Arabidopsis thaliana: one gene and its partners. The protein of the gene in region 1 interacts with the protein of each later gene in a biochemical or structural test. Each region holds a gene or a part of one and is shown in the gene's direction. Other genes may lie near its edges.

The links.
Region 2: the proteins of TTL3 (region 1) and AT2G29340 form a complex in vitro, tested with the Arabidopsis thaliana proteins (one study listed by BioGRID).
Region 3: the proteins of TTL3 (region 1) and AT4G37110 form a complex in vitro, tested with the Arabidopsis thaliana proteins (one study listed by BioGRID).
Region 4: the proteins of TTL3 (region 1) and SAP5 form a complex in vitro, tested with the Arabidopsis thaliana proteins (one study listed by BioGRID).

What each region holds. Positions count from the first base shown.
Region 1 is NC_003071.7:17,725,063-17,734,387, forward strand, and holds TTL3 (tetratricopetide-repeat thioredoxin-like 3), read left to right. Parts: upstream 1-3,416; 5' UTR 3,417-3,792; coding exon 3,793-4,691; intron 4,692-4,778; coding exon 4,779-4,974; intron 4,975-5,054; coding exon 5,055-5,239; intron 5,240-5,327; coding exon 5,328-5,661; intron 5,662-5,742; coding exon 5,743-5,944; intron 5,945-6,027; coding exon 6,028-6,134; intron 6,135-6,246; coding exon 6,247-6,399; 3' UTR 6,400-6,774; downstream 6,775-9,325. Other genes in the region: GRF9 (general regulatory factor 9), read right to left, coding at 7,102-7,205, 7,493-7,641, 7,735-7,844, 7,942-8,029, 8,107-8,413, 8,641-8,713. UniProt on the Arabidopsis thaliana protein: Involved in osmotic and salt stress tolerance. May play a role in the control of meristematic cell size during osmotic stress. May function as an adapter protein for BRL2 and may be required for signaling affecting leaf vascular tissue pattern formation.
Region 2 is NC_003071.7:12,593,929-12,601,825, forward strand, and holds AT2G29340 (NAD-dependent epimerase/dehydratase family protein), read left to right. Parts: upstream 1-3,186; 5' UTR 3,187-3,202; coding exon 3,203-3,267; intron 3,268-3,373; coding exon 3,374-3,581; intron 3,582-3,667; coding exon 3,668-3,884; intron 3,885-3,981; coding exon 3,982-4,088; coding exon of another isoform or gene 4,089-4,100; exon of another isoform or gene 4,101-4,186; coding exon 4,187-4,372; coding exon of another isoform or gene 4,373-4,378; exon of another isoform or gene 4,379-4,940; coding exon 4,941-5,081; 3' UTR 5,082-5,368; downstream 5,369-7,897. Other genes in the region: TRI (tropinone reductase), read left to right, coding at 676-740, 852-1,059, 1,148-1,364, 1,876-1,982, 2,083-2,268; SAG13 (senescence-associated gene 13), read left to right, coding at 7,108-7,196, 7,302-7,509, 7,606-7,822.
Region 3 is NC_003075.7:17,479,875-17,488,176, reverse strand, and holds AT4G37110 (Zinc-finger domain of monoamine-oxidase A repressor R1), read left to right. Parts: upstream 1-1,776; 5' UTR 1,777-1,979; coding exon 1,980-2,260; exon of another isoform or gene 2,261-2,386; coding exon 2,387-2,425; exon of another isoform or gene 2,426-2,526; coding exon of another isoform or gene 2,527-2,561; coding exon 2,562-2,801; intron 2,802-2,891; coding exon 2,892-2,978; intron 2,979-3,123; coding exon 3,124-3,253; intron 3,254-3,357; coding exon 3,358-3,834; 3' UTR 3,835-4,147; downstream 4,148-8,302. Other genes in the region: SMP2 (Pre-mRNA splicing Prp18-interacting factor), read right to left, coding at 1-128, 223-358, 451-977, 1,069-1,232, 1,483-1,498; AT4G37100 (Pyridoxal phosphate (PLP)-dependent transferases superfamily protein), read left to right, coding at 6,314-8,302.
Region 4 is NC_003074.8:4,008,568-4,015,499, forward strand, and holds SAP5 (A20/AN1-like zinc finger family protein), read left to right. Parts: upstream 1-4,040; 5' UTR 4,041-4,139; coding exon 4,140-4,622; 3' UTR 4,623-5,016; downstream 5,017-6,932. Other genes in the region: AT3G12620 (Protein phosphatase 2C family protein), read right to left, coding at 943-1,170, 1,258-1,494, 1,645-2,012, 2,102-2,426; AT3G12640 (RNA binding (RRM/RBD/RNP motifs) family protein), read left to right, coding at 5,888-6,022, 6,203-6,303, 6,385-6,736. UniProt on the Arabidopsis thaliana protein: May be involved in environmental stress response.

The sequences.
Region 1 (9,325 bases):
TGGTAATATGAAATAAATTAAATTGTTGATGGAGATGATGATGAAGGTAAAGAAGATTCATATCATATCAGCATATGCTCACATGATAGAGCATCTAACCTCAGGTGGCAACAAATAACATCATGGCAATATATAATTGATCTATTAAATTTAGTTATACATACGGATATGATCAATTATCCAAACATGCAGCTGTTTTTCTAATTTTAAAGATATTTCTTTTCTCAAACTACATGAGTCTACAGTTCTTATAACTTGGCTTCTATATATAATCTGAAAGCCATCATCATACATCCATTGGCCAAAGACTAGACCAAAAGTATTACCACCAACGTTTTTGGTCACGTACCAGTTTTAGAATTTAGATGAACTATTTCACTCTAAAGCAAAGTACTTGTTTACTTTAGAAAATTAGAGTAAACGAATGTTAACTTAAAAAAATTTCGGGTTGACAAAAATAAAATGCGAGTTGGACGGTAATGCGATCTACATATATTCTTTGCTTGGACTGACATTATGATCTTAATAATTTGTAAATAAAAATTAAAATAATATTGATGAAACATAGGATACCCTTAACTAAGAATCATAGTGGTTAAGACAAGCGTGGATTAGCTTTTAGTAAACTGATTAATCGAATAATAAAGAAAACCAGATAATTTTCTTACGTTTTTGTATATATAATCAAGAATCATGGAGATACACATAGATAAGAAAGATTATAGCACGAACACGAATGCATGTATTAGGCAATAAAAATATCGTTAGTTAGAAAACAGTACATATATAAATAATTCGTGTAGTATTTTGACTAAGGAATTGTCTTAATAGAATTAAGCAGTTACAAAGTTTTATTTACACAAATATTTTTTCCTCTCGGCACACCTTGAATCAAATCAAGCATCGTTTAAATTAAATTACTGTAATGGATTAGATAAGTACTAGTAATAAGTAAAGTATGTTTGCCGACGGGTGAAATTGTAAAAAAGATTGGATACTTTCTTTTGTTTGATATGAAACTCGAATCTCGTGATTAAAAAGATGGCCCGACAGTGATTTAATGAGAGTCAACAAAAAAGATGTAAAACACATTATTAGCAACTAATTGTACTTTATTTTTATAATTTTCACACGTTTCCTCTTTTGTCTATTTTGATTGGGGTCATTCATGCTCAAACATTACAGCCTGCGCATTGTATTATGTTTTGTATGTCTCCGGCGGAACAAACAATGTGACATGCGTTTGAATAATCAGTCTAATTGTATGATTGGTGTGTTCATTCGCTATTAATGCAAATGGTGTCCAAATTATTAAATTTTGAGTTAAATCCGTGGAGAAATAATATTCCTTTCATTTTAAAGCAAGTGTCGTTTTAGACTGATTTTTTTTATTTATGTCGTTTATGAATTAAGATAATAAAGAAGTATTAATAAAAATGTGAGACATAAATATATAATTCTGAAAGCCAATCTTATCTTCAAATGCACATTTCACTTATACGTATTCAGTATTCTGCCATTCAACAAACCCATAATTTATTTTGTCTATGGTAAAAAAAACGCATATAGTCAGTCATATTAGAATTATTTTACGAATGTAATTTTTATTGCTACTTATCATGTATGCTTAAGTGAAAATAGTGAGTCACTATCGTCATTCGTCACCCATCTCATGCTTGGCGTTGGCGGGCTCGAGGTCAGTTTTCGAATAATCCGTCGGTGTTAACAGAATAATCCGTTATTGAAAAACTAAACGCCGTTAACGGAAACTGTGTGCTTAGCTGGCAGACACAGCAGAGAAGTCAATAACCAGCTGGCATGATCACCGTTTTGCAATTATCCCCATAATTACCGCAACACCCTTCTATTTTTTTATCCTTTTTTTTCTTTAATTAGTATTTACTATTTATTATCGTTATGTTCTTAATTATCCTATTATTGTTTTAAATATTTTTATATAGCGAAATAATTTATTTAAGAAAAAGTCAAGAGAAAATTAATTGACTATATATGGAAAATAATTTGAGGGTGCGAGGCATGACCTAGCTAGAGAAAAATAAAATAAAATGAAGGCATGCATGGTGCTTGGTTCAATGTAATTAGTGGTTCCGTAGGTCTGAACGGTACGGACTGGCCATGATCTACTAGAAACAGTAAATAGTTAATACAAAGTAATTAATTATGAGTTTCAGCAAATTAACTACTCTATATCGAATGAATTAAACAGTAATCCCCAGAAAAGAAAAAAAGAGAACTATGACAGCCTTTTCAAAGGACACCCGAAAACCAAAATGAAGATTTTAAAAATGCCAGCTCTGCAATAGATATTGAACTTTCATTTGTAATTTTCTTTATTTTTGTTGCATTACACACATTTGTTATTTACATTTAAATTGGCTATTGCAATAAAAGATTACTTTATATGCTTATAATAGTACAATATATATGGTGGCTTAAACAAAAGTTTGGCTGGCTTGATAAATACATCTTACATCGAATGACGATTTTACCCTCTATCTTGCTGTCTCTGAGTACGAGGGTTGAAATCCTTACGTGGCATTTTTTCTCATTTTTCTTGGTCAAATAGTTTAACCAAACTCCAAAAGTCTGTGATTTGTTGACATACTTCTAACTAATTTTTTTTTATAATAAAAATCTATTGTATCTGTAGAAATAATCATTAGATTTACTTTCTAGAATATAACTTCTTATTTCTTAGTAATTTGTCCAGATTTTTTTTTACAACTAACTAAACACTAGTTAAAATGTTAATGTCTAAAAAATACCATTACAATTATTCAATTTAATAAAAATTGAGTCGGCCAATTTAATGCGAGACTTCTGTACAACGACCCTAAAAGTGGGTTTGATAAATGAAACATATTGCAACAAAAAAATACTAGTAATAATGATAAAATAGTAACATGTCGTGGCGCATTGAATATCCTACGAAGGTTTAGTGTTTACTTTTAAAAAATCCTAATATGATACTAGTACATATAGCTAGCTTGCCTTGCTTATGCTATTGCATAGTCTGTATTAATAAATGATGTTATACATTTCGATAGAGTAACATTTTGGGAACATGAGTGAACGTGCTTGAATCTTCGTGCCCTTGACGTCAGAAGCTAGTAATTTTAAATACTAATTAACATTCATACAAATTAACAGATACAATGTACTATATCATAATTCGTTTCCGTAACACAACGCAACAATTTGAAAGTAGATGTACTTTAGTACTTAGTTAGTGTGCACCAAAAAAAAAAGATGTAGTTAGTTAGTAAGGGGTTAAATGTTTTAATTTATTAAGAAAACTTAAATTCATTAAATGTTAGAAAAAGTCTAATTAGTTTATATTCGAACACTGTGCTCAAAATTAAAAAGTCAACTATTTTAGACTATAGAGTTTATTAATTAATAATAAATTCGATAAATCACCGTATTATTTTCTTCAACGACAAGTAGCCGTGAAGACACGGGAGCGAAGAGAGATAAACAGAAGATGAAGAAGAAGATCAATGTCATAATCTTCAGGGAGATAAATCCGTAATCTTTATTAATCAAGGTTAATCCTTTTTTTTTTCTTCATCTTAATTCTTTGCGTCTTCCTTTTCTATTTATCACGAGATCTGTCTTTCTTTTTCCTCTTCTTTCTCTCTCTTCTCTCTGAAGACAGTACTTGTTTCTGTCCGGCGTTAAAAGCTTCGGTGGTGGTCTCTTGACTTCTCTGAGAAGAAGAAAAGGAAGCTGAGTCTCATTTTAGATTCAGCTCACGAGGAAGTGACGACGATGTCTCATTCTAGAAGACTTTCGTTGGAACCTGCTATAGATTCAATCACTGGTCGATTTCGTGATTTACAGAGAAATGATGATGACGTCAACAAACCTGATTTTCGAGAACTCGATCTAGGTTCTCCTGTTTCTACCTTAATGCCACGTGGCTCTGCTTCTTCTTCCGCTGCTGCGACTCCTACTAGCAGCTCTGGCTCTTCTGGCTCTGCTTCTGGTAAACCGTCGGTGAGTTCTCAGATGGCTAAACGGTTAGATGATGCTTACAAGAGTCATTCCGGTGAGCTTTCTAGCCCCGGATCCGGAATGCCGACCACGACCCGGATTCTTAAACCGGGTCATAGAAGATCTTCTTCTACTGGCACGCCTTTGATCTTCTCTGGCTCTAGCTTTACTTCAGCAACGAGTCACACCTCGCCACAAGGAGGTGGTAGCGGTGCTACGTCGGCAGTGTCTCCCAATACTGGCGTTTTACCGGCGGGAAATATTTGTCCGTCGGGTCGGATCTTGAAAACTGGAATGGCGTCTCGGACTTCAAGTAGGACTGAGACTCTATGCACAGGAACTGGTAATTACGGACATGGAAACGTTGTACGCAGCGGCGGAGGAGGAGGAACCAGCGGAAAGGCGGTGAGAGTGGCGGAGAATGGCGAAAACCCGGAGGAGTTGAAGAGAATGGGGAATGATATGTATAGGAGAGGGAGTTTCTCTGAAGCTCTGTCGCTTTATGACAGAGCAATTTTGATTTCACCGGGAAATGCAGCTTACAGAAGCAACCGTGCCGCGGCTTTAACGGCATTGAGGCGGTTAGGAGAAGCCGTTAAAGAATGTCTTGAAGCTGTTAGGATTGATCCTTCTTACTCCAGAGCTCACCAAAGACTTGCTTCTCTCTATCTCAGGTAATCTTGAGAGGCTTTTTGTTTTGTTGCTGTGTTTTTAGTTTAAAGATTGAGAATTTGAAATGATGGAGTGAATTGTTGCTTTAGATTGGGTGAAGCTGAGAATGCAAGACGTCACATTTGTTTTTCTGGTCAATGTCCGGATCAAGCTGATCTCCAACGGCTACAGACGCTGGAGAAGCATCTCCGACGATGCTGGGAGGCTCGAAAGATTGGAGATTGGAAAACCGCGATTAAGGAAACCGATGCAGCCATTGCAAACGGCGCTGATTCGTCTCCTCAGGTGATTACATATCATTGTCGTATGATATGCTTGTAAAGATTTTTGACTAACAGTGAGGTTTTTTCTATTGGTTTGGACAGCTTGTAGCTTGTAAAGCAGAAGCCTTTTTGCGTCTTAAGCAAATAGAGGATTCGGATTTTTGTGTATCTTGCATTCCAAGATTGGATCATCATTACCATTCTCAACCGCAGGTGAAACTCTTTGGTATGGTAGTTGAAGCTTATGTGCTCTGTATCCAAGCTCAAGTTGATATGGCATTAGGAAGGTGAGCTTTCGAAACTCAGAAATGTTGTGATTCTTTGGATTTTTGTTTCTCCACCGGTGAGTGAGTAGATATGATAGGTTTGTTGCAGATTTGAGAATGCGGTTGTCAAGGCAGAGAGAGCTGCGATGCTTGATCAAACCAATCCTGAGGTTGTATCAGTTTTAAACAATGTGAAGATGGTTGTGCGGGCACGTACTCGTGGTAATGAGCTATTTAGTTCGGGGAGATTCTCGGAAGCGTGTGTAGCTTATGGAGACGGTCTCAAGCAAGATGACTCCAATTCGGTTTTGTACTGCAACAGAGCAGCGTGTTGGTATAAGCTCGGTTTGTGGGAGAAATCTGTTGAAGATTGTAACCATGCGCTCAAAAGCCAGCCTAGTTACATCAAGGCACTTCTACGTAGGGCTGCTTCATATGGAAAGGTGAGATTAGAACTTACTATAATCAGTTATTGACAGAATTTTGCAGTGTATTCGAATGACAATGTGTGTTGAAATATATAGCTTGGTAGGTGGGAGGATGCGGTTAAAGATTATGAGTTCTTGAGAAGAGAACTTCCAGGAGACAGTGAAGTTGCAGAGTCTCTAGAGAGAGCGAAAACAGTGCTAATGAACAGAAGCCAAGAATCTAAAAGCCTAGGTTTCAATAATGAAGTTGAAGCGGTTTCGACTTTGGATAAGTTCAAGAAATCCGTAGCACTTCCCGGTAAGTCTAATGAGAAACTTCAATTTGTCTCAAAAGGTTGAGATTTTGCGTGTCTTGCTCAAGTTGGAAACATTTCTCTTCAGGTGTCTCTGTATTTCATTTCAAATCATCATCAAACCGACAATGCGAAGAAATTTCTCCATTCATCAACACTTTATGTCTTCGGTATCCATTAGTACATTTCTTTATGGTAAGAACAAGAACACATTCCAAATATGCTTTTTATATCACATTTTCTTCTAAACTTATATGTATAACCTATGTTTCTCAATGTGTTAACTGAGAAAATGAAATGTTATTAGGTGGATGTGGAGGAGAGCATGGCGTTGGCGAAAGCAGAGAGTATCAGGAAAGTTCCGACATTTAAGATGTACAAGAATGGAGATAAAGTGAAGGAGATGGTTTGTCCTAGCCATCAGTTTCTAGAGGACTCTATAAAGCATTTCCTCTTATGATTGAAAAAGCCCTATCATCATTATCTGCTTCCCTATGATTCGATCCGAATAGCCTATTTAAAAGACTCAGAAAGCATTCTATGTGAAAGATGGGAAAGAGCTCTTCTGTCAAATTCAACAAACTATTCATTCTTTCTTCTTATTCGATTCTAATTCTTCTTTATTTATTTTTTGGAGTTTGGCTCTGCTTGCTTTGGCATATTACGTATGGGTAAATGTTCGCAATGATTCAAGAAATGCAAGCTTCATTATCTATTTACGCTTGGCTTGTGTATGCTAGATTATTCACCACACCAGTGAAAGAAACTGAACAGAGTTTACTGTATTTGGTGTTGTTGATTCAATCAGTGACAGAATATGAATCAGAGAGTACCGAATCCAATCAGCTTCTATCTCAGCAATTCAGAAATGAAGGAATATAAGTTTCAAGATTGGATCCATAAGGATAGATAGTAAGACGACAGTAGTGAATTACAAATAAGAGTGTCCTGAGACAGGCATGCAATACATTCAAACCAGAGAGACATTTAGGGCTAAACCAGAGTACAAGTAACATAGACAATCATGATATAGGGAACAGAGAAACTCTACTTTTCACTATTATTCACCGCACATTCAGTTCTTGAAACATATTGTCCAGGTGCACACATATCATATCACTGCAACATAAGCAAAGAAATCTTGAATCAAAATCGGCTTATTTTAATTTGATTTACCCCGAGTAAAGGAATCTCTTATACTTACCTCTGCATCGTCTCCACCAGCACCAGGTTTGGCAGAACCATTCGTCTTATGAGCATCGTCTCCTGCACACAAATGCAAAATTAACAGTTGAAGTCCAAGTGAAAATATATATTGATAAAAACTGGCAATCGTCTTCCAGATGCTATTTCAACTATCTATCATCAAGAATGTCCATGGATATGCTTAAATTGTCTTATAGATTCATTGGTTTCAAGTAAATCAACACTACACATAAGAAATGACAATGAACAAATACACCTAGAATGGAAAAACACCAAAGAGCAATTGTGTAAGACATCAAAACATCATATTTAAAGAGTGTGCTTAGGTCCAGAGTGATGATCATTACCTCCTTCTTCTGAGATGTCAGAAGTCCACAAGGTCAGATTGTCCCTAAGGAGTTGCATTATTAAGGTGCTATCTTTGTAGGATTCCTCGTTCAGAGTGTCAAGCTCTGAGATAGCTTCATCGAACGCCTGCTTAGCAAGGTGACATGCCCTGAAGAGAAAAGAGCAAGAAAAAAAAATCTCAAATCTCCAAAACAATGAGTCTTTTTTCTTATCTTAGTAGTATAATTAACAATCTGTAAACCTTTCAGGTGCGTTCATGATCTCGTAGTAGAAGACAGAGAAATTCAAAGCCAAACCCAATCTGATAGGGTGTGTTGGAGGGAGCTTAGCCTCAGCAGCAGTAGTAGCAATCTGTAAAGGAAAGAAACAAACAAAAACTCAAAAGTAAAGTAACGAAAAACCAAGAATGTCCAGTGATCAATAACACTACAAATCACTATAAGAACACCTCATAGGCTTTCAAAGACTGATCAGCAGCCTCTTTCCTCTCGTTCCCTGATTTGAACTCAGCAAGATAGCGGTAATAGTCACCTTTCCTACAAAAACCAAAACAAAATCTTCAGACACACAACCTTAAGTTAAACACCATGTAAAGAAGCATTATAGAGCTTACATCTTGTTGAAGAAGACAGTAGATTCACCCTCGGAAGCCGAAGGAATGAGATGCTCATCTAAGACAGACATAATATCAATGCATATGTTAGAAAGCTCTAACTCAACCTTCTCCATATACTCTTTGATCCTCTTTACATTAACATCATTCCCTTTCACTGCTTCCTTTTGTTCAATCGACGAGAAGATCCTCCACGAAGCTCTCCTTGAACCAATCACGTTCTTGTAACCCACAGAGAGTAAGTTCCTCTCTTCCACCGTCAGATCAACATTCAATTTCGCAACACTTTTCATTGATTCCACCATTTCTGTGAAAAAAAGAATTCACATTTTTCAATACCCATCTGCTAAAAATCAAGACTTTTGAATCTAATTCCTTGATAAGAAGTTCCCCATTCGTAAACTCTCAATCAAACCAAACGATTGAAACCCGTTCGATGATATCAAAGTCCAGTAAAATCAAACAGAAATCGAGCTCAAGAAGCTATCAAAAAGACCTGATTCGAGTGAGAAGAAGAAGAAGAAGATTCCTTACCTTCATAACGCTCAGCTTGCTCAGAGAGCTTAGCGAGGTAGACGAAAGTGTCACGCTCTTTTCCAGAACCCATGACTGATTTTCAAGATTCTCGAAAAATCAAAAGTATCAAATTCCAAAGCTTTTGACGACTGATCCGAGTATGTATATCTCTCGGCGAACGCTGTTCTTTTGTTTTATTTTTTCTCCAGAGAAGAGAGAGATCTTTGAGACGCGCGTAGGGACACAAGCGTAATTAACGCGGGTTAAACGGGGTAATTACTACTCAATGGTCTGTGTCAGTAAGTGATTTTATTCATTATATTATTCCTCGTGGGATCCATTTGGTTCTTCTCTGTCTAACCATATCATGACATGTCATCACTCTCTATCCACCAGTCCACTCATTTTAATTGTACTTTATCTTCTCAGCACAATTTTATATTTTATTCAAATAATGGACTATATAACATTAGAAGGAATTAATCTTCATTAGGGAATAACTAAGGAACTGTTTTTCCAAAAAAAATGAATTTAATGACATACCTATTTTGTCCAAATTTTCGTGTTTAAAATTTAGAGTTTATTTTTTGGATTTAAGTGTTTAATTTTTGGAGTTTATATATTACGAATGGTAATTTCAACATCTTAGAACGAAAAGAAAGATTTCTTTTCTTGTTTCTTTCAGAAATATATTTCCTAGATA
Region 2 (7,897 bases), 5.1 Mb from region 1:
TGAATCAAAAGGCTGTCAAAAAAAAAAAAAAAAAAAAAAAATCTTGAATCAAGTTGATAGATACATATGGGCTTGCGTGATCTTGAGTCTTGAATTCATAATAGGCGAATTTGAATCTTGAACGACTAATCGATAACAAACAAACAAAAAAATATTATATAATTGGTTAGAGTAGTTAACTCTATCACGCTTAATGAGCATTTTATATTTGTCTTTGAATGACAATTCAAGTAAATACTTTAATTTCAAAATTGATGGATCGTTTTTTCATTGTACTTTTCTTCGAATAATATTAGAGATAATCTTCCACACTTAAAATAGATTAATCTCATTGTCTCTCATCCTACATAAGCTTCTTACTTTAATTTGTCTACATCCCTCTTGTCTCAATTAAGTATTATTATTAACGCTTCAAATTCTTACTACCTAAACACGTGAACAGTAGTCTTTCAGTAGTCTTTTAATTTGCGAGTGAAGTTAATGAAAAAAATACAAAATGGTAAGTTTTGGTCAAGATTTTGACTATTAAAATTAATATTTGCTCTTGACCACTAAGTATATTTTTGTCATCTCTTTATTATGGCTAAAAATTGACACTTATCTAATACTCATTCATTGGATATATATATATAATGTGTAGCATTTCTGGTCAGTGAAAATTGACATACAAGGACTATGGATAAAAGGTGGAGTCTCCAAGGTTTGACTGCTCTTGTGACCGGTGGAGCCAGCGGAATCGGGTTCGTCTAGATTCTCACTATATCAACTCTTTTACCCATTGTTCTGTTTCTAAAATTCATTCTAAATTGTTAAAGTTTTAAGGAGTTTTATTATGTTTATCGAATGTTTAGTCATGCTATAGTAGAAGAACTCGCCGGTTTTGGGGCCAAAATCCATGTGTGTGACATATCGAAAACTCTGCTCAATCAAAGTTTATCCGAATGGGAGAAGAAAGGGTTTCAAGTGAGTGGTTCAGTCTGCGATGCATCCAATCGTCTCGAAAGAGAAACACTTATGCAAACTGTCACCACAATATTTGATGGCAAGCTTAACATTCTTGTAAGTTAATCTTAATTTAAAGAAACTAAGCATATCTTTAAGCTATTTAGAAATGACATGAATATATACTCTTTTCTGTTCAATATAGGTGAACAATGTTGGCACAATTCGCACAAAGCCAACAATAGAATATGAGGCAGAAGATTTTTCGTTCCTTATTTCAACAAACTTGGAATCTGCTTATCATCTAAGCCAACTTTCACATCCACTCCTAAAGGCTTCAGGCAACGGAATTATTACTTTTATTTCCTCTGCTGCAGGGATCGTATCATTTGATGCTGCATCCATTTATGGTCTAACGAAAGGTAACCATAGTGAAAAGTTTAATACTAGAGGAAGTTCATTGCAAGAATGACCAAATAGTATTGTGGATTTATATATGTTTCATTATGTATATTATATATTTGATTAGGATAATTTTCAATCCCATTTAATAATTTCAAATGATATTTGAGAAGAATTGTTTTTTTTTTTTTTTTGTGCGTGAAATCTTATTTTAGTGTGCTATGCTAACATTTTTGGTTTCAGAAATATATAATTCAGAAGGTCAAATATAGGGCATTCATATTCAATAACATACAAAAACAAAACTAATTTATAACTATGCATGTTATTTATGGATAATAAATCTTTTTATTTTTATTTAGATGGTTCATAAATATCGCATTATGTCTCCGAAAGCTGATTCTAACGGCTAATTGATTGCCCTAGTATCATTCGTTTCTATTTCTAAATTGGTCTATCTTTCTTTGGGAATCCTAATAGATGTCTCTCATAGTCATAGTATTATTTTTTCTTGTTTGTGTATATGTTCAGGAGCTTTGAATCAGCTAGCACGAAATTTGGCGTGTGAATGGGCAAAAGACGGCATTCGAGCCAACGCGGTTGCGCCTAATTTTATCACCACTGCTCTGGCTAAACCTGTAACCAATACACCCTCTCTTTTTTTTCTTTTTTTTCCTTTTAAAATTAACATCATCACCCACTCTTATTCTTGTTTTTTACAATCTTGTAAACATTCAGTTTCTCGAAGACGCTGGTTTTAACGAGATTTTGTCGAGTAGAACTCCACTTGGTCGCGCTGGAGAACCAAGAGAGGTTGCCTCACTTGTGGCTTTTCTGTGTCTACCTGCTGCTTCATATATTACTGGTCAGACCATTTGTGTTGATGGAGGTCTCACTGTTAATGGCTTCTCATATCAGCCATAGGCTTGAGCCATGTCTTGTCTTGTCTTGTGTGTTGTGGAGTATGGTCATATGGTCAGTATCTCCATAATCTAAATCCATAGATATGTGAGTTGTGGAGTAGACACAATTTTTCAATAATGGAATATCTATTTACCAGTTCCGTATTATGCATGCATTCTCCATGACAACGCTTCTCATAACGAATATAATTACGTGGATCATAATACTATGAGGATTGATATCATTGAGATGGAGTAGACACAGTTATTTTCTTCTTCCCTTGCCATTAGCAATTTCAATTGTATCTATGCTTGAAATACTTAAATGGCATTTACTTCTTAACTAAAAAGCGAAAGGAGGGAAAGAACAAGTCATTACAAGATACTATAATAATTAGAAATTAAAAGAGTATAATTACATCTTCCCAAATGTGTCAAATATTCAGCAAAAACTCTGTCAATAGAAATGAACAAACGGTATTTTAAAGTAATACAATGGGTAAACTTTAGATATTTTGTAAAAACCTAATTAGAAAAAAAATTTGGAAATCTTAGTTGAAGATAACTACCCAAATTATGAAAAAAAAAACATTTGCCTTCTTGTTACCTAACTAACACGTTGAATGTTTTACAAAAATTTTGTTCACCAGTCTAACTGACTTGTCGTTTCAGTTGTCATCTTTTGAATGAAATTAATGGAAAAGAAAGAAACAAAAATGAGTAAGTTTAGATCAAGATTTTGACTATTAAAAGTCATATTTGCTCTTGACCACTGACTTGTATATTTTGTCATGTTATTTATTATGGCTAATATATCCACCACACATACAAACATACTCATTAATTGACCCTTATCTTTTATTTTTATGGTAAGAAAATTGACACTTATCTAATACTCACTAGGTGTGTATATATAATGTAGCATTTCTGGTCATTGAAAGTAACTTACAAGCAAAATGGACAAAAGATGGAGTCTCAAAGGTATGACTGCTCTTGTGACCGGTGGAGCCAGTGGAATCGGGTTCGTCTTTCTTCTCTGTTCTCTCTATGTCATCTATTTTACCCATTGGTCTGAATCTGTTTGAACATTAAGATTTGAAGTAGTTTATGTTTCTGGAATGTTTTAGTTATGCCATAGTAGAAGAGTTGGCTGGTTTTGGAGCTAGAATCCATGTATGTGACATCTCTGAAGCTAAGCTCAATCAAAGTTTAAGCGAATGGGAAAAGAAAGGTTTTCAAGTAAGTGGCTCAGTTTGTGATGTAGCCTCTCGTCCCGAGAGAGAAGAACTGATGCAAACCGTCTCCTCGCAGTTCGATGGCAAACTCAACATTCTTGTAAGTAAATTAATTTAAAGATACTATCAAGTTAATCATATTCGTGGGGGAAATCTTTTAAAGACCAATTTTTTCAACATGCATAGGTAAGCAATGTGGGCGTAATCCGCTCAAAGCCAACAACAGAATATACCGAAGACGATTTCGCTTTTCATATATCATCAAACGTGGAAGCTGCTTACCATTTTAGCCAGCTTTCACATCCTCTCCTAAAGGCTTCAGGCTATGGAAGCATCATCTTTGTTTCCTCTATTGCAGGGGTTATATCTTTTGACGCTGGATCCATTTATGGTCTAACAAAAGGTAGCCAGAGACAGAGTTTTTAGTAGATGGATAGTGTTCATTGCAAGACTGACTAATAAATCTTTTATGTTCTATGTTTTGTTGATTTATTATCCAGGAGCTTTGATTCAGCTAGCTAAAAATTTGGCATGTGAATGGGCAAAAGACGGCATAAGAGCCAACGCTGTTGCGCCTAATGTCATCAATACTCCTCTGTCTCAATCTGTAATAAACTAACAACTTTTTCTTTTCTTTTTTTATGTGAATGTAACAACGATTTTATGTGAATTAATCTAACCCTCTCTTAATTGTGTTTCTGCAAGTATCTTGAGGACGTCAGTTTCAAGAAGGCATTGTTGAGTAGGACTCCACTTGGTCGTGTTGGAGAGCCAAATGAAGTTGCATCACTAGTGGCCTTCTTGTGTCTACCTGCAGCTTCTTATATTACTGGTCAGACTATTTGTGTTGATGGAGGTCTCACCGTTAATGGCTTCTCCTATCAGCCAGAGGTTTGAGTATGGTCATGTCTCGTTCTTTTTGTTTGTCTAGAATTTTCAGTGTTCTCTCAAATAAAATATTTCAAACTATGAGTATATGAATAAAAAAATAAATATATCATAATTACATTATGGATATACTTACAATGTATCTCTCATACATGAAAATGTTCTATTCCATCTTGTGTTTACTACTAACTTACTAAGTGAAAAGAAGACTCTGTTTTTATGCTCTGTTTTGTTGTAAACCGGTAGACTTAGAAAAGTTGGGACCTCATAGTTGAACCCAAAATAACAAAAGTGAATTTCAAAACTAGCATATATATAATAGAGACTCAAAATAAAGCAATCACAGAGAGATAAACCCAAAATTCAATGGATGGCAACGAGAAAACCTTTTGTGACCAACTACATGATACATTGATATACCATTTTATGACATACTATTAATTAATAAATGCTGTGGTGTGCCCATACCGGATTCATATAAATGTTTATACGACTGCATAGCATTTCCACTACAGTTTAAACTCTACCACCCAAATACCAATTTTTTTTTTTTTTTGACATTGGTTTCAAGGAGGCATTGTTGAGTAGAACTTCACTTCGTCGCGTTGGAGAGCCGAATGAAGTTTCATCACTAGTGGTCTTCTTGTGTCTCCCTGCAGCTTCATATATTACTGGTCAAATGGTCAAACCATTTGTATTGATGGAGGTCTAACTGTTAATGGCTTCACCTATCAGCCACAGGCTTGAGAATGGTCATGTCGCGTTCTGTTTGTTTGTCATGAATTCTCAGTGTTCTCTTAAATCAAATCTCTCACACTATGAGTATATGAACAAAATCATATACAATATCACAATTCCATTATGGATATTCTCCCAATCTATCTCTCATACATGAAAATGTTCTATTTCGATCTTGTATTTAAATAATGTTAATACTCTGTTTTAATTTGTGTATCCTGATTTTTTTTTCTTTTTGAAGTTCAACAAATATATCAAAATAACTCAGAACCATTACTATTTTTTCTTAGTTCATCAATTCTTTACTACACATAGAAACGTATTTATCTTGTTTGATCTACTTTGACTCTATATATGTCATGTGGCATCTCTGGTCATTGCTAGTCACAGGTAAAAGTAAAAATTGATCAAAGATAAAGAGTCTTTCATGGTAAAAATTCTCTTGTAACTGGTGGAGATAGTAGATGTCAATTCGTTTGCAATAACTTACATTTGCAATAACATGTCAGCCATATTTATTTAAATTTCCATGCATTTGATATTATTTTCTCTCTAATACATATATGATGTGTTACGGTCATTCTAAAAATCCAGTTGACAGCATAATGAAGCTGGTACACCATACATGCACTTGATTATATATGGATGTTACTGCCATGATTGATGTTTTGATGGAATTAGTGTTAAAGGATGGACCCTCACTAACGCGGTTGGAAATTATGATCAAACTCTTCAATGTCACTTATCAAGAGAGCTAATGACTAGCACGTTTAGTTGTTCTGTTGTTTCTTATGGCTGCTTAATGTCTCCATCAAATATTTAGACATTGTGGCTAGTAAAATGCCATCTACCTTAATCCTATATATAAGTATAACTAGATAATAATCCATATTTTTGCTGGGTTTAGTAGCTGATACGACGTTTATGGTTGTTATTGAGTTTGAATACAAAATATAGAGTATTGTTGGAGTTATATTGATTTTTGTTCATATTAGTTAACAAATAATAAAAAAATTAAGAAAGGTTTTTGAAAATGCATCTTCTAGAATATATGTATATTCGAAAAAGTCACATCTTTAATTGACATATGTTTTGTTTGTTTGTTTTTTTTACTGGCCACACAAATTGACAACAATGGTCATGCATGAAATGAAATGTTTGTTGTCAATTTTTTTTACTAACTTGTAATATCATTATGAAATGAAATAGAAGGTATATATTACAAAATATTACCTAAAAGTAGAGCAATCTTAGAAAAAAAAAAAAAAAAAAAAAAAAAAGAAAAAGAAAAAGAAACAAGATTACAATGCATTTAAAAAGAGATGGAAAGAATCCGAGCTATCGAATCCAAAGAAGCATCAGCTTCCTCCATCTGTTCTTGTATCGTCTACCAGAGATGGTGTTCCGGATCTCTCGATCAATATTCTTAAAGATGGTTGTTGGAGGGATCCTTTGGCTATTATGGAGAACATTATTCGTTTATCTCCAGATGTGATAGACAAAGGGCTGTGTGGCCTGTGAGACCGATGGCCACTTAATTATTGGTTTTTTGTCAATGGTTGTGTATGCATAGAAATTCCCACAACCGTTTGTGGCTTAACACAATTTACCAGGGGTTTAAGTGGTTAAATTGATACATGTAGATCTAAAGTTTTATGCTAATATAAATTAGTTTTAATTATATAAATTTTAACTACGCTCATGACACGTAAATGGTAGACCAATATGTGGTGCTCTATTAACTAAGGGGTCTTCATTATTAATTCATAAAGACTTTCTTTACTATACAAGACTTGTCAAAAGGAAAAGTAGTATTTTCGTACTACGTCTACCCCTCTCACGGATATGTGTGGTCGAGCAGTCATTATCATAATGTGGAATTTTGAATTGAGCGAGGTTTCAAAGTTCAAAACTATCACAACTAGTCTTGATCAATTCTATATAAGATCTGTGATCTTGGTTGAAGAAAAGAATCGTCGTAGGTTGATATTTAACAAGGAATGGCAAAGGAAGGGGGCTTGGGAGAGAACTCAAGATGGAGTCTTGGAGGCATGACCGCTCTTGTCACTGGTGGCTCTAAAGGCATCGGGTCAGTCCCCATTGTGAATCTTGACTCCCATTTTCTATGCTCTTTTATTGTATTGTCATGTTTAGTTATGGAAGAACTAACTCTGTTTGTGTGTGTCATGAATAGGGAAGCTGTGGTGGAGGAACTAGCCATGTTGGGAGCAAAAGTCCACACGTGTGCCAGAGACGAAACTCAGCTTCAAGAACGCTTACGTGAATGGCAAGCAAAAGGGTTTCAGGTCACCACTTCTGTCTGCGACGTCTCTTCTCGTGACCAACGAGTGAAACTCATGGAAACTGTTTCCTCTCTCTACCAAGGAAAACTCAACATCCTCGTAAGTATACATATATAAGCTTCGTCCTCCTCGGTATTGGGATCCACAAGAACCCAATTATGTTGTGTTTTTTGTTGTGGATCTATACATATGTAGGTCAACAATGTGGGAACGTCAATATTCAAGCCGACCACAGAGTATACAGCAGAAGATTTCTCTTTTGTAATGGCTACAAATCTCGAGTCAGCTTTCCATCTCTCACAGCTTGCCCACCCATTGTTAAAAGCCTCTGGCTCAGGGAGCATCGTGCTCATATCCTCTGCTGCTGGAGTCGTGCATGTCAATGTTGGATCCATCTATGGAGCAACCAAAGGTACCGTATATAAGTACATCCTTAACACAATATGTTCCCATGGGTTATGATGCTTACACATATATTAACTCGTTT
Region 3 (8,302 bases), on another chromosome or scaffold:
AGCAATTCAGCTTGGGATGGAGCCGCTTGCATATGCATGTCATGTCCCTTGTCAAATGCTTCACATGAATGGATGTTTATCTGTTTGAACTCCAGAGCTTGGCCACTGTTTCTATATTGATTATCTCCCTGGATAGATGATAAGAAGAAAAAAAAAGTTAGTATTCTCATATCATCAAAATATAAGATACAACTACATGATTCACGATGATCACAAACTAACCAAATAGAATTTTTCATTTGGATCTGCATCTGGAAGTGGATCTTCACGCATGGACCGAGTTTTAGGGTCATAATGAGCTGAGTTTACATCAAGATTCAACAGGTATTTAGCAGTGTCTTCTCTGATACGCAGATTCCTGAAATTAAGAAAAGGTAACACCATTAGTGCATCAAGTAGAAACACCAATTTAAACTTATGTTATCATGTTTGATGAAGAGTAGTCCATACCTAACAGTTCCTGTGCTACCACCACCAGTTGTTCGAACACGTTTCTCAACCTTTGCAAAATCCATTTGCCTACTCTCATCAACCTTAGCTTCATCGACCCTCAAGTCGTCAAGGTCTTCCTCCCCATCACTGGTTGCATCATCACCGTTTTCATTATTGTTCTTCTCCTCTAGTTTCTTAAGTTGCTGCTCCTTGAGATACTTCTTTCGTGCCTCCTCTTTAGCATCATAACGATCTACCACATGACGGTAGGTTGAAGTATCATAACCGTTCCATCTGTCCCTCTTCCCATCATAGTCAAGTTCAAAACTCTCGATTTTCTCATCAGCAGCAATGTTCATGTTTGTGTATTTAGCTCCAATCTTACGAGGTCTATCCATACATGCTTTAGAACTGTGAGTCATTGCACCACAGTTTATACACGCTCCCTTGCGGTATTGTTCAGCTTGATAGATCTTTTTACCTCTATCATACCATATCTTTTTGGGTTCGGGTTCAATTTTCCAATTTTTTTGATGCTTCAAACTCTGTACAAAAAAAAATCACAGAGTATGAGTGTGAATGTTCTCAACCAAGACAATGCAGAGAAGCAAGAGAAAGAAGAATTTTCGCATATACCGGCTGTTCAGACTTGAGATACCATGGAGCTTTTGACATATACTCAGGTATGTGAGGATTGATTTCTTTGCCATCTTCGTCTACCTCAGCAGGAGCGAGACCAGCTTTACGAGCTTCCTCTAATTCTAATTTCTTCCTGTGATCTTCCCTAGACTTAAAAGCAACTGCAGATCCCATAGAAAACATATATCAGAACAACATTCAAACATTAAAAATAAAATCAATTTTGCCAGAATTTAGCCAAAATGAATCTAGCCAATAGCAAAACTAGTAAAAACCCTAATTTACTAATATATAGATTTAAAGAAAGAAGAAGATATCAGAAGCGAGATTCTTAATCATCAACGGGAATTAACAGAGAAATCGAGAATTAGGTTAAAGTATTAGAAGAAGAAATTGAAGGAATCATGGTACCTGAAGCCGTCGCCATGATTGTTACGATCGTTAAGCTTCGAGTAGAGGAAAAAAAAAAGTGCGAATAAAGAAGCTAATAAGACCTAAGATCTAAATATATTAATGCGTAATCTCCAGGAAGGAATGGAAAGATAAAGAATGGCGGCTTATTCTTCTTCGTAGTACAATTTGGGATTTTTTATGGGCCGTTATTAAAGCCTAAAGGCCCTTTAAGAAAAATAAATTTACAGATGTATGATAGATAATAAATATGATTTCCATTTGACAAACCAATCAACGTTTTCATTAGTTGGCAAATTAAGCACATTTACCTAAAAAGGTGAAAAATGTTTTGAATTTTAAAAAGAGTAAAAAAACCAGACCGTTGCTGTTCCGCTTCACTCACTTAAAAAGTTAAAAAAAAATCTTTCATTTCTTCTTCTTATCCAGAGATCCAAAGAGAGAAAGAGGGAAAGATTGGAACTTTGAATCCAAAATCAGTTCATCAATCTCTCACAATGCCTGTGGTGAGAACGAGAGCGAAATGTTCGATTCCCGTCACAAACCCTAATCCAACAGTCGGAGGAGGAAACTCAAACGTCTCGATCTACGAGAAATGCAGAGAAGACAGGATCAAGGAGAATCTTCAGAGGATGAAGAATCTCGGAATCATGGATCTCTCTCTCAAACTCAAATCCGAGATCCGACCCGCCAAAAGGCGTTACGGTAACTCTAATGCCAATCCGGGTCGAGAAACATCTCCTATTCAGCTTTCCGTCTCCTCTAGACGATCCTCAAGGTAATCTCTTCGTTTTCAGTCACTGACTTCTCTCGATTTTGTTCACATTGCTTCAATCTTCCAAAATTAGGGGTTTTAGAGAAATCTAGGGTTTTTAGAGAAATCATTTCGCTGTTTTATAATCAGATTGAAGCAGGAGCCGCCAGTTTCTCGGAGATCCTCGAGGTAATCTCTTCGTATTCAATCTCTGTGGTTCTCGTTTCGTTCTTTGGATTCTGTTCAAAATCAAGGGTTTAACAGGAAGCTAGGATTTTTAATAGAAAGTAATGATTTTTATTGCCTTCTCTGTTGTGGTCTTTAGATTGAAGAACGCTACACCAGTTTCCTACGCAGAGGAACCTGAACTGAAGAAGGGTAAAGTGTCTAAAGAAGAGATTGTTTTGTGGGTAGGAGAAGGCGTAAGGCCAGAGATTTACACTGAGGAGCATGAGAAACTGTTAGGTAACACAGAACGAACTTGGGAGCTTTTTGTTGATGGTTGTGACAAAAATGGGAAACGGATTTATGACCCTGTTAGAGGAAAGTGTTGCCACCAGTGCAGGTTTGTACACTTGGCTTTATCTCTGAAGATGTAGTTTGATTCGGTTAGGATTGAGGCTAATGTGTTTAATGGTTACTGTGGATTTTACAGGCAGAAGACGCTAGGTTATCATACCCAATGCAGCCAGTGTAACCATTCTGTTCGAGGTCAATTCTGTGGAGATTGTTTATACATGAGGTACATTAGCCTCCAACCTTCTTTGTTTCTGTGTTTTTGAGTAATTCCTTTTGTGAGAATCAACTGGGAATTGAGTAGCTTGCTTTGCTCAGCAAAATGAGGATTGGAACTGAATGTTTTAGGTTATGTTTTGGTGATTGAACAGATATGGAGAACATGTTCTTGAAGCTCTGGAAAATCCGGACTGGATTTGTCCAGTCTGTCGCGATATCTGCAACTGCAGTTTCTGTCGTACAAAAAAAGGGTGGCTCCCAACTGGTGCAGCTTACAGGAAGGTAGCTATTTCGATTAGTATGATCCATGGTGAAAATTCTGATTTTGAGTCCTTGGATAGATTCAAAAGTTAATGGCTTTCCCTTTGAATTTCTTTTGTTCTCAGATACATAAACTCGGGTATAAGTCTGTTGCACATTATCTGATTCAAACCAACCAACAGTCAGAAACAAGTGAGGATGATGAAACTGATGCTCCTGCAGATAGTCAAGCTTCAGAAGGAGATCATCTCCTTCTCATAACTGATGGGATTCAGGACAATCAAATTGACGAAAATCTCGATGATGATGATGGCTCAAACAAGAATCCGGATTCAGCTAGAAAGTCATTATGCTTCTTGTCGTCTGGGAACAACCAAACTTCAGTGACTGATGGTGATCTCAAGCCATTAGATGTGAAAGAGGTGGATCCAGCAACTCCTGTGATCATCGATCTTGAGGCTCAGTGCAGTGAAACTGAGAGGATGGCTAACTCTGCAAACAAAGAGAACCGAGAAACAAGAAGCAAGCGAAAGATGTCTGCTGAACCAAACCCAAATAGTATTGGTGGAAGACTGAGACAGCGTCGTAAGATTCAAGCTTGAGTGAGAGAAGAAGTTTCAGAAGAGAAACTATGCTTTTGCTGCATGTACGTACTCTAAGGCTAAACAAATGGAAGATCTTTTTTTTCTTTTCCATTTTTCTATCGGAGTAGGCATGGATCATGTAAGAACTTGACGGCTTTTCAAATTTTGTGTTTTGTTGCTGTTGGTGATCTGATGTAATGGATTCCAGTTGAACGGTTAAAGAATTTGCCTAAACCAAAACCAAACCGATCTGAAAATCGAGTCAATCTTTCTACACCTCAAGATTATTTGGTTTTATCTTTTCAATATCCAAAAAGCCTAATCGAGAAAGAAATTTGTGGATGAAATTAGTCAATTTCTTTGAATTAGTTTTACACTTTAATGTATGCAAAATTTGTGTTACATGACTACATCAACCTTCAGGTACAAAGTAACTAAAGTACTTTTTGTTTCCGTCATTTAATTTAAAATCCCTCTTTACACTTTTAACTATATTCTGGAATCTCTAATGCTTAACTTCAAACTAATACAACTTTGCAATTTGCATTGTATTCGATTATACTTAAACCACAATTCAAATTTGAAATTTTAGGAGCTATACCTTTACTACTCGTACGGTACCACTGTACCACAATGATATGACTCGAGTAATTCTCAAGTTATATGAAAATATGTATATTTAAAATCTTAAAAGTAAATTATTCGTTGAGACATATGAGTACCTTTAATACACCAGAATAATAATTCTAGTTTGTCGTCCAATAAACACAAAAAAGGAGAATGAAAGCATTACACATACTTTGACTCATTGAAAAGGACAAAGAATTTAAAACCATACAAATACTTGAGTAACTAAACTAAAACTATTATTCGATTTTAAGTTTCTTCTATAAGAAAAGACAGACAGCATTTTATTTTACCAATAACACATTGTGTTCCATGCATATTAAACAATACCCTCTATCGATGAACTTACTATACTACTGCATTAATAAAGATCTCTATCGTAGTTAGTCTGCATTTCTTTTTTTTTTAAGTCAAGACTATCCCCACCAATGTTGTGGTTGGTCATTGAGTCTAATGGTGTGTACCAACTACCAACCTGTTTTTTTTTTTTTTTTTTTTTTTTTTTTTTTTTTTTTTTAAGTTGGCCATATTGTTTCCTTAATGCTGCAAAATTGTTATTTATATATATATTTTTTGTTAATGCTACCAAAATAATAATGTTATTGTGTTTTGTATATGGACTATGGACTATGGAGTCCAAAGTAGGCAAAAGTATCCCCACAACCCAACATTACATTTATGTAGGCATATATATTTCGTCTGTTTCAACCAACTGTCTGATTTAGTATTATTTTTACTTTATTCATATAGTAAACATAAAATATTAATAAATATACAATTGTATAGTAAATTATTAAATTAGTGAAAAGTTTTGAATTATCATCTTCCTGTGGACATCATTTTTTTCTTCTCATCATTTGTTGGACTTTGGAGAAGAGTTAAAGAGAAATGGTCTTTGATATATCCTTAAAAATTCCGCAATAGCAAGAGTTGACTAGTTAATGCGTTTCTTTCGGGGGACGATAAAAGAAGACAAACATTGTGTTTTCCTCTGCCATTTTTTTTTTGTCTTGTATTCAGAATAAAATAAAATAAATGTCAAATAGTATATGCTATGTTAATATTCCCCCTTAATATGTCTTTTTATGTTATTTGACTTATTTCCAAGTTTTTTTTCTTCTGTGTTATTTGACTTAAAAACCTTAGCCATATAATAGAATATGATTAGAGGAATTGAATAATTGATAACCACCATTACCATACATTATTGTATTAGCTCATGAAGAACCACCACTTTGCTTCTTTCTGGATATTGTTGTTAAAGTCAATGCCTTTTTCTTCAACAGTGTCTAAAGAAGAAGAGAGAGAAGCCATTGTAGTAGTAAATGAAATGAGAGATTGGTGGTGAAAGGGGTCACCTTTGCTTTTTTATTCAAAGACACTTCCTTTAATAAAATTGATTAAATTGATTGCTCTTATACATAACTTAAGAGAGTGGTTTCTTAATTTCTATGCAAAATTTTGGGATCTGTTTTTTTTTTTCCCTTTTGCTTTATTTCTTTATTAATTTATTTTATTTTTCCTTTCTCTCCTGAGAGAGACTCTAGACTGGTCCTAGGGTTTGAGCTCCTTTTGACTCTTCTTGGATTCCTTCTTCCTTGTGTGTTTTTCTTCTTTCTCGTACTTTTGTTTGTTGAATTTCTGCTCCTTTTACTTTCTTCTCCTTCTTCTTCCGTCAATTTCGTTTCTTCACTCTCTTGCCTAAAGCTCTAAACTTTTTTTTTGTTTTCTCTCAAAGTTTCCATTTTTGAGCTCTCTCTTCTTTGATCTGCTTCAAGTTCTTCCCTAGTTCGTTACTTCTAGGGTTTTATAATGAGCTTAAAAACAAACCCTTTTCGCCGAATCTCCTAAATCTTTTGTTTTTTTTGAAATGCATTTCTCTCTGTGGAAGCAAATTCATCACTGTGCTTCTCTGATCTTAGACAAGAGTAAGAGCAGCAGGAGAAGAAGAGATGGGTCTGATTCGTCTCTCAATGTCAAGAAAAAAGCTGCACTGATTCGGAAATTGTATGAAGATAAGCTCAGGGAAGCTTTAGAAGAAGCTTCTGAGAATGGCTCACTCTTCAAATCCCAAGACATTGACCAAGATAATGGAGATGGAAGCTTGGGTCGTTCCAGATCCTTAGCTAGACTTCACGCGCAGCGTGAGTTTCTACGCGCCACTGCTTTAGCAGCTGAACGTATTATCGAATCAGAAGACTCAATTCCTGAGCTCCGTGAAGCTTTGACCAAGTTTCTGAGCATGTACCCAAAGTATCAAGCTTCTGAGAAGATTGATCAGTTAAGATCTGATGAGTATAGTCACTTATCATCATCAGCTTCTAAGGTATGTCTTGATTACTGTGGATTTGGTCTCTTCTCTTATGTTCAGACTCTGCACTATTGGGATACTTGTACGTTTAGTCTCTCTGAGATAACTGCCAATTTGAGTAACCATGCGCTTTACGGTGGAGCTGAGAGTGGAACTGTGGAACATGATATTAAAACTAGGATTATGGACTATTTGAACATCCCTGAGAATGAGTATGGTCTTGTTTTCACAGTTAGTAGAGGCTCTGCTTTTAGATTGTTAGCGGAATCTTATCCTTTTCAGTCGAATAAGCGGCTTTTGACAATGTTTGATCACGAGAGCCAGTCTGTGAATTGGATGGCGCAGACAGCGAGGGAGAAAGGCGCAAAGGCTTATAATGCTTGGTTTAAATGGCCTACTTTGAAGCTTTGTTCGACTGATTTGAAGAAACGGTTGTCTTATAAGAAGAGGAAGAAGAAGGATTCCGCGGTTGGGTTGTTTGTGTTTCCTGCTCAGTCTCGTGTTACGGGTACTAAGTATTCTTACCAGTGGATGGCTTTAGCTCAGCAGAACCATTGGCATGTGTTGCTTGATGCTGGTTCTTTAGGTCCCAAAGATATGGATTCGCTTGGTTTGTCATTGTTCCGGCCTGAGTTTATCATTACCTCGTTCTACCGTGTATTTGGTCATGACCCGACAGGATTTGGTTGCCTGTTGATTAAAAAATCAGTTATGGGAAGCCTTCAGAGTCAATCAGGGAAAACTGGATCAGGTATAGTGAAGATCACGCCTGAATATCCGTTATATCTCAGTGATTCAGTAGATGGTCTTGACGGATTGGTTGGTTTTGAAGATCACAATGACGATAAAACCAAAGAAGCTCATCGTCCAGGAACTCAGATGCCAGCTTTCTCAGGTGCATACACTTCAGCACAAGTGAGGGATGTGTTTGAAACAGAGCTCCTAGAAGATAACATATCTTCTGATAGAGATGGAACTACTAGCACCACAATTTTTGAAGAAACAGAAAGTGTTTCGGTTGGAGAACTCATGAAAAGTCCGGTTTTTAGTGAAGATGAGTCATCCGACAATTCGTTTTGGATTGATTTGGGTCAAAGTCCTCTTGGTTCTGATCAGCATAATAAGATTGCATCTCCACTGCCACCAATTTGGTTAACCAACAAGAGAAAACAGAAACAACGACAGTCGCCTAAACCAATACCGAAGAGTTACAGCAGTCCATTGTATGATGGTAACGACGTCCTCTCGTTTGATGCTGCCGTTATGTCAGTTACAGAGCACGGGACAAACTCGACTCCATCGCGGAATAGGAGGAGCTCTAGTAACCATCTCCATGTTCAAGAGATACAGGAAGAAAACTGTGGTCATAGCTTTGCAAATGGCTTGAAATCTTCCAACATTTCATCAGAAATCAAAGAGAGTGCTATTAGACGAGAAACAGAAGGAGAATTCAGGTTATTGGGAGGAAGAGATGGTGGTAGAAGCAGGTTGTTGGGTGTAGAGGATGAACATCCGAGCAAAGGAAGACGGGTTTCATTTAACATGGAA
Region 4 (6,932 bases), on another chromosome or scaffold:
TTGACATATAACATTTGTTTCTAACTAATTCACATATAATCTTGTTGAAGAAATAATATTATGATCAAAATCATTAGAGCTTATTCCAGCATTTATGATTTTCAGTCGCGTTGTCTTGGTTAGGACATGATTCAACGCCCATCACATGCTCAGGGGTCAAGATCCCATTTCCTGGAGCTGTCTTTATTTATTTATTTTAGTATTAGTAAAAAATTTCCATGTCCTTGCTCATAACCAAAACATAATTTCAATCATAACAACAATATACAGTAATCCATTTGTAAAATGTTAGTTTTGTCGCCATATCTCCAAATGAATTCAAATTCGATGAAATGCATGTGCGAACATATGGATCATTAGATTATTTTGTTTTCATTTCGATTTACTATTGCGTGAATTATTCGTGATCTTTCAAGGTCTTTTAGATAACTATTCTAAATATTTTGGAACTATAGTCGGATGATTTTTTTACTGAGAACTGTAGTCAATTATATTTAAGGTAACTTTAATTTGTGACTGACAAGATCTTTTGAATTCTTAGGCCATGAAAAGCAATGTTGTTTTGTCTTTGACATAAAAGACGAACTTGTAGCAGTATCGGTCTCTACTGCATCAATTACACATTCGCTTATGTTTTTGTATATACACTAAAAATGACAACATAAGCAAAAAGTGGTAGATGGAGGTAGTCAGTAGTAGAAATCTTTCCAACAAGTGATATCTCTTTATATTATCCATAATAAACTCAGTTTGCCAAAAGACCTATACATTGGATTTCAACTCTTCATTTTTTTTTGGGATGAATAAAAAACAGAGTTAAGAGGAAATTTTTATATATAGAGAAAAAAAAAAAGAAGGAACTTGAATTGCGTTTTGCAATGTGTTTTTATATATAGTGGATAATGTATATATAAGATATATATAGATGTGGTGAGAGTAGAGTCAAGTAGAAGGTCCAGCTAAATCACCACCACCTGAGATGGAGAGGAGAGGTCGGCGTGAGGTACTGCGACTGACGAGATGTGAATCAAGAAACACAACTATGACTGTTATATCATCATGAAAATGTCTCCGCACTCCTCTATCGATCTTTTTTAGATCCGAATATCTCATCTCTCTCTTCTTTGCTGCCTCTCTTAGAGCTGTTTTTATGAGCTTCCTTGCAATCCCCTGCATACCCACATGTTCTCAATCAATCTTTCTATCTATTTGCACATAAAACGAGAGAGAGTAAGAAAGAGCAAGTGGCAATCTTACATTGCGCGGGCATGTGTTCACAATGTCAACAGCTTCTTGATTGGACAAGTGCTCCCACAAGCCGTCTGATGCAAATATAAGAAACTGATCTTCTGGATGGATTTTGTGTACTGTAATTGCCGGCTCTGCTCTAAGGATGGGCTTATGGAAAACCTCAGGGACCCTGAACTTTGCCAACAATGGTTCCCGGTTGAATTCTGCTTTCTTTAAGTATGCATCACCAATCGACCGTGAAACCTTCAAGAACCAGCCACGGGTTATATCTAGCGAAAAATCCTCTTCTTATACATGCATAGGGCTTACTTAGTTGTATCTTTCACAGTCAAGCTACTTGCAAGAAAAGAGTCTAGAAGTCAGCAACTCGCATTACCGTGAAAGTATTTTTACCTGTATAATACCTTTGACACGCCAAACTTTGTGCTTCAAGACCACAATCTGAGGATCATTTGGATGCAACGAGCGCAACTCCTCTCTCACAGATTCAAGACTTGCATTATGCTCAGACGATAACTGAACGGCCTTGACAATTTTAAACGCTTTTTCCAGTCTTCCTAGCACAACCCGAGAATCTCCAGCGTTTGCAATATACAACAATCCACTACATATGATCCCTACCAGACAACAAGCTCCAACAGAAGCAATCTGTGGTTTAATCTGCCACTGCCGCCGGACAAGAGAAAGAAAATCTTCTTCCGTAGCTAAAAACGCTTTAGTTATAACATTGGCAGACATTCCATGATTCTCTGATGTAAACTCTGCAATCAGAAAATGTCACCAACTTAGAACATAGATAGTCCCAAACACACACATATCAAATATAACAAAAAAGAAGGAAACAACGTACTCCTGATGTTGTCGAAGAGGTGTTTATTAACGAAACGGGCAGCTTCAGGACCACCATGACCATCATAAACACCAACAAAAGTAGCTTGAGGACCAGAATCAAACATACTAACAGGTCCAGACTCAAGCTTGCTATGATCTTCGAGAAGATTATTAGCTTGAATAACAGACATAGAGAACTCTCCAGCAACATGGTTACCAGAATCTTTATACCAAAGAAGACCATCACATCGACCATTAGCGTCTCTAGTAGAATGATCTCCTTTAACAGAAGGTCGCCTCCAACATGGTGCTACCATCCGCAATATAGTTGCCGATGATACCATAACTCACATAATCCCCTCAATAATCAAAATTTCTTTACTTCATCTAAAAGATCACTAACACCCCCAAAAAAACGGAATCAAATCAAAATTTGCTTATTCCTCCTTCCCTAAACAATACACCAATACGAATGCATCAATACACATTTGTCGCGCATATACAATTACGAATTTTCTTCAAGGATCGAGATCAATTACCTTAAAAAAAAAAAGCCGCGAAATGATTTACCGTTCGGACAAAACAAAAGTGAAAATTGGATCGAGATCGGAAGCAGGAGTTACGATAAGAAGGAATCGTAACTCCGGTTGGGATTACAGAGAGGAAGAGAGATGACGAGAGAGAAAGAAAACAAATCTAGCAGGCGACTCTGTCAGAATTCCTTATTTGGGGGTTCGATTTCTCTTATTTTTCTCTCTTTTTTTTTTTCTTTTTTTTTTGATGCTTTTTTGTTGTCATTTGGTTTTCGAGTTTAGCTGTTTAGGCATTGACCTCAGAAACAACCCGACGTTTTAGGCAGCTTTTTCTCCCATAGTTAGCTACGTTTCTCCATTTTTCAAGATTACTAATTTTATTAAAATATTACTATAATAAATAGATTTTTATTTACATTTTCCATAATCTGAATGAAATCAAATATATGCAAATATCAAAAGTATCACCTGATCACCAATTCCTAGTTTTGTCCAATGATACTGATGATTCATCAGCCGATTGATTGAAGGAACAAATTTGAAGTTTTCCACTGCTAGTTGAATTATGGTTAGTTCATTTGACTTATCAAAATCAAATGACTAAAATATTCGAATTTTCTTACATGCTGTAGAGATTAATTTCAATTTTAATTCATCATCCCATTATCTATATAAGAAAAAAGTAGAAACATTTCGCGAAATACAATCCACCTTCTGGGTTGTTGTCTTGTTGAATATGGTCAGGAAAATAAGACCATTAAAGCTTCAACCTCCAAGCCAAAGAGCAAATAAAATACTACTGATTAACGCAAAAACATGGAAAAAAAATAAAGTCTGCAAATTGGCATGTTGACATGTTGTACGCGTAGCTTTACAACCTCACAGGTCGTTTTTTTTGTGTGACAGTTTTAACCCCCAAAATCTCTTTCTTTTTGTTTTTCCCTAAAGTAAAAAATAAAAATCTAACATGTCCGAAGTCGAACCAAACATAAACATACAGGTGTTCGAAACTAGTTAACACAATAACACCTCTAGATATATATATGATTATGGTATTACTTTTCTTTGGTGATTTTTTTGTTGGGAGAGAAACATAAATAAACAAGTTGGCCCATATTCCAGCGATTTTCCTCACCCTTCTTTGATATCTCAGTTTATAAAAGTCATGATACTAATAAATTAGAGTATACTCAAAGAAAAATCAGAAAATACACCCAAAAAAGCAAAAATGTGAGAAAGAGAAACATGTTGTTGTCCGCTGTATGGCGTCATAAGCCATTCTAGAATCATTGAAATGCATATTTAATCCTCTCTGGTAATTCCAAAAAAGCGATGAGGGTATTAACGTAAATCCACCAGAAGACGAGAAAGTGGGGATGGTGGAAGGAGAGATGATAAGAGAGATGGAAACGCGTCTCTCTATGAGGCCCATATTCCATTCTTACCTCTCTCTACCTCTCTATCTCTCTCTCCTCATAATCGATCCGTAAACTCGCCGGAGGAGCAGGGAGATTCAATAAGACGATGGCTCAGAGAACGGAGAAGGAAGAGACCGAGTTCAAAGTTCTCGAAACCTTGACGACAACAACAACGACGTTATGTACCAATAACTGCGGCGTTACAGCGAATCCTGCGACGAACAACATGTGTCAGAAATGTTTCAACGCATCTCTCGTCTCGGCGGCCGCAGGTGTTGTTGAATCAGGTTCGATCTTGAAGAGATCGGCTAGATCTGTCAATCTTCGTTCGTCACCAGCTAAAGTCGTGATTCGTCCAAGAGAGATCGATGCGGTGAAGAAGAGAGATCAACAGATCGTAAACCGATGTTCTGGTTGTCGGAAGAAAGTTGGGTTGACCGGATTCAGGTGCCGATGCGGTGAGCTTTTCTGCTCAGAGCACCGTTACTCCGATCGTCATGATTGTAGCTACGACTACAAAACCGCTGGTCGTGAGGCGATCGCTAGAGAAAATCCGGTGGTCAAGGCTGCGAAAATGGTCAAAGTTTAAAAAATTAAAAATTCGATCTCAACCGTTGAAAAACTTGTGGTGGTTCAAAAGCTCCGATCGGAAGAGAGATTGGTCGGAGAGACATGGATTTGATTTGGTGATGTGTTGTAAAAGAAGATCAGAGAGATTATTCCTCTCCTCAAATCAAAATCTGAACCTCAATTTTTTTTTTTACGTTTTTTTTTCATCTTTTAATTTATATATTAGTGAATGATTATTAATATTATTATTGTGTGGCTTACGGATTCATGAATTTGCTTCTTGATCATCGAGAAATGGTGTATGTAAGAGACGAAGGGGTTGTTTGGTAATTTAGGAACATGTCTTTCTGGTTTCGTTTCGTTTCGTGTGGTAGATGTACTTATCACGATACTACTAGTCCATTGTGCGTCACAACTCACAAAGCCAATTTCTATCAGACAAGTTTGCTTGGCGTATAAAATAGCAAAGCCAATAACGTGTTTGAGTTTGTATGGGTTATCATCTTCTTGTGTTCCATTATTTTTATAGATTTGTATATTTTAAAGCATAACATATTAAACTATACATTAGACTTTTGTTTTCTTTTAATAATATTAACATGAGCTTACTCATTCTACGAGTTTTTTATGTGAATTATTTTCAACGCATACAAAAATATCTTGCATATATCTTAAAAGTCCAACAAAATACTGTTCTTTCATGCAACTATCATTGTAGCCAGACTATAGTTATATCTACTTAATAAAATGTGTAAAAAAGTAAGTTCATTGGGACAATTTTCAATTGTCATCTAAAAATTGCAACAAAATACTGTACTTTCATGCAACTATGATTATTTATAACTCTAGTCAGAAAAAAAAAACTGACGGAAAAAAAAAAAGTCAGAAAAAAAAACTAAAAGTTGGAGCACCTAATTAGGCCCAACCCAATAGTGAAAATATAAATGTGTTGTTTTAAATTGAAACACAAAACGCACCGTTTATAATTAAAAGAAATTCAGAGAGGCTTTTCATATCTAATTTGTTCCGTCCCTTAGACATTAATCAGGATTTCAATCGTCTGGGTTGCTGCTTTCTGGATTTCTCCGACAGAAACCCAAACCCTAGTACCACCACCTTGAAGCTCCTTAATTCTATCCGTTCTCGAATTGAATCGTGCATAGGTTAGGGTTTTAGTGGCGTGTATATATATATTCCAATTTGTTGATTCCTTGGGCTCTCTCATTGCGGTGGCAACAAGTTAAGGTCTTTGATAATAATCTCGTAAAGGAATTTTCAGTGAAGATGGGAAGCGCCGATCTAGTCGATGATCGGACCTTTAACGGTGATTTCAGTGTGGAAGGAGTTGCTAAGTTGAAAGAGATGGTCAAGGATAAACTCAAGGAGTATATGGGCGATTACACGGATGACATTCTTGTGGTACGATTTTATCGATTCTCCATCTTTTTCAGAAAATTGGAATATCCGCTTTTGGGGTTTATTATTCGTGTTCCTTGTAGCTAGAATTGCTGAGTTTTGGAATTGAACTTTAGTTGTTCTTATTGTGGTGCTAAGAAGTCTCTTTAGAATTCAAATGACAACAAAGTCTTTTGCTTGCAGGAATATGTGATCGTCTTGCTTAGAAATGGGAGAAGAAAAGAGGAAGCAAATAATGAATTGAAGATATTTCTTGGAGATGATAGCGACTCTTTTGTGGCCTGGTATTTATATATTTCTTATCTTTGTGTAACAAAGTTTATTGCTTTTTTAGAAATTCATATTCACTAGGAGGATATATGCAGGTTGTGGGATCATCTGGCTGAAAGTGTAGATGAGTACTTTAGTTCTAATGTGGAGGGAACTACCATAAAAAGCTCATTGATAAGCAGTCATGAGGATAAAGCACTTGTTCCTCTGGATTCTGAATATGATAAGGGACGATCTGATAAATCAAATGGTGCACGTCGTGGTAGACAATGGAGAAGCCAGCCGACTAATGTCTCTGAGATCCCTCCTCTTCTGAGCTCTGAGGTTCACAAAATTCATAACTACGAGAAGAAAGATCATAAACACCGACATAATAAAAGGTCTCCATCTCCGCAGGCTCAATCTCAGAGGAAAAGGTCTAGAACTGACGACTCACGGAATGAACAGGTCTGTTATTTTGTTAATTTCTGTTGAATAGCAATCACCACGTAATACTTGGATTGGAAAATTGAAAAAAATGCTAAAATAGTTTATTGGATGGGATATTGTGAAGACATTCTCAGTGTAAAGTTTTGGTCAGAGGGCATCTTTGCGTTCTGCTTTGTATGAGACTAACAAGTCAGACGTCCGTATTACTCTTATC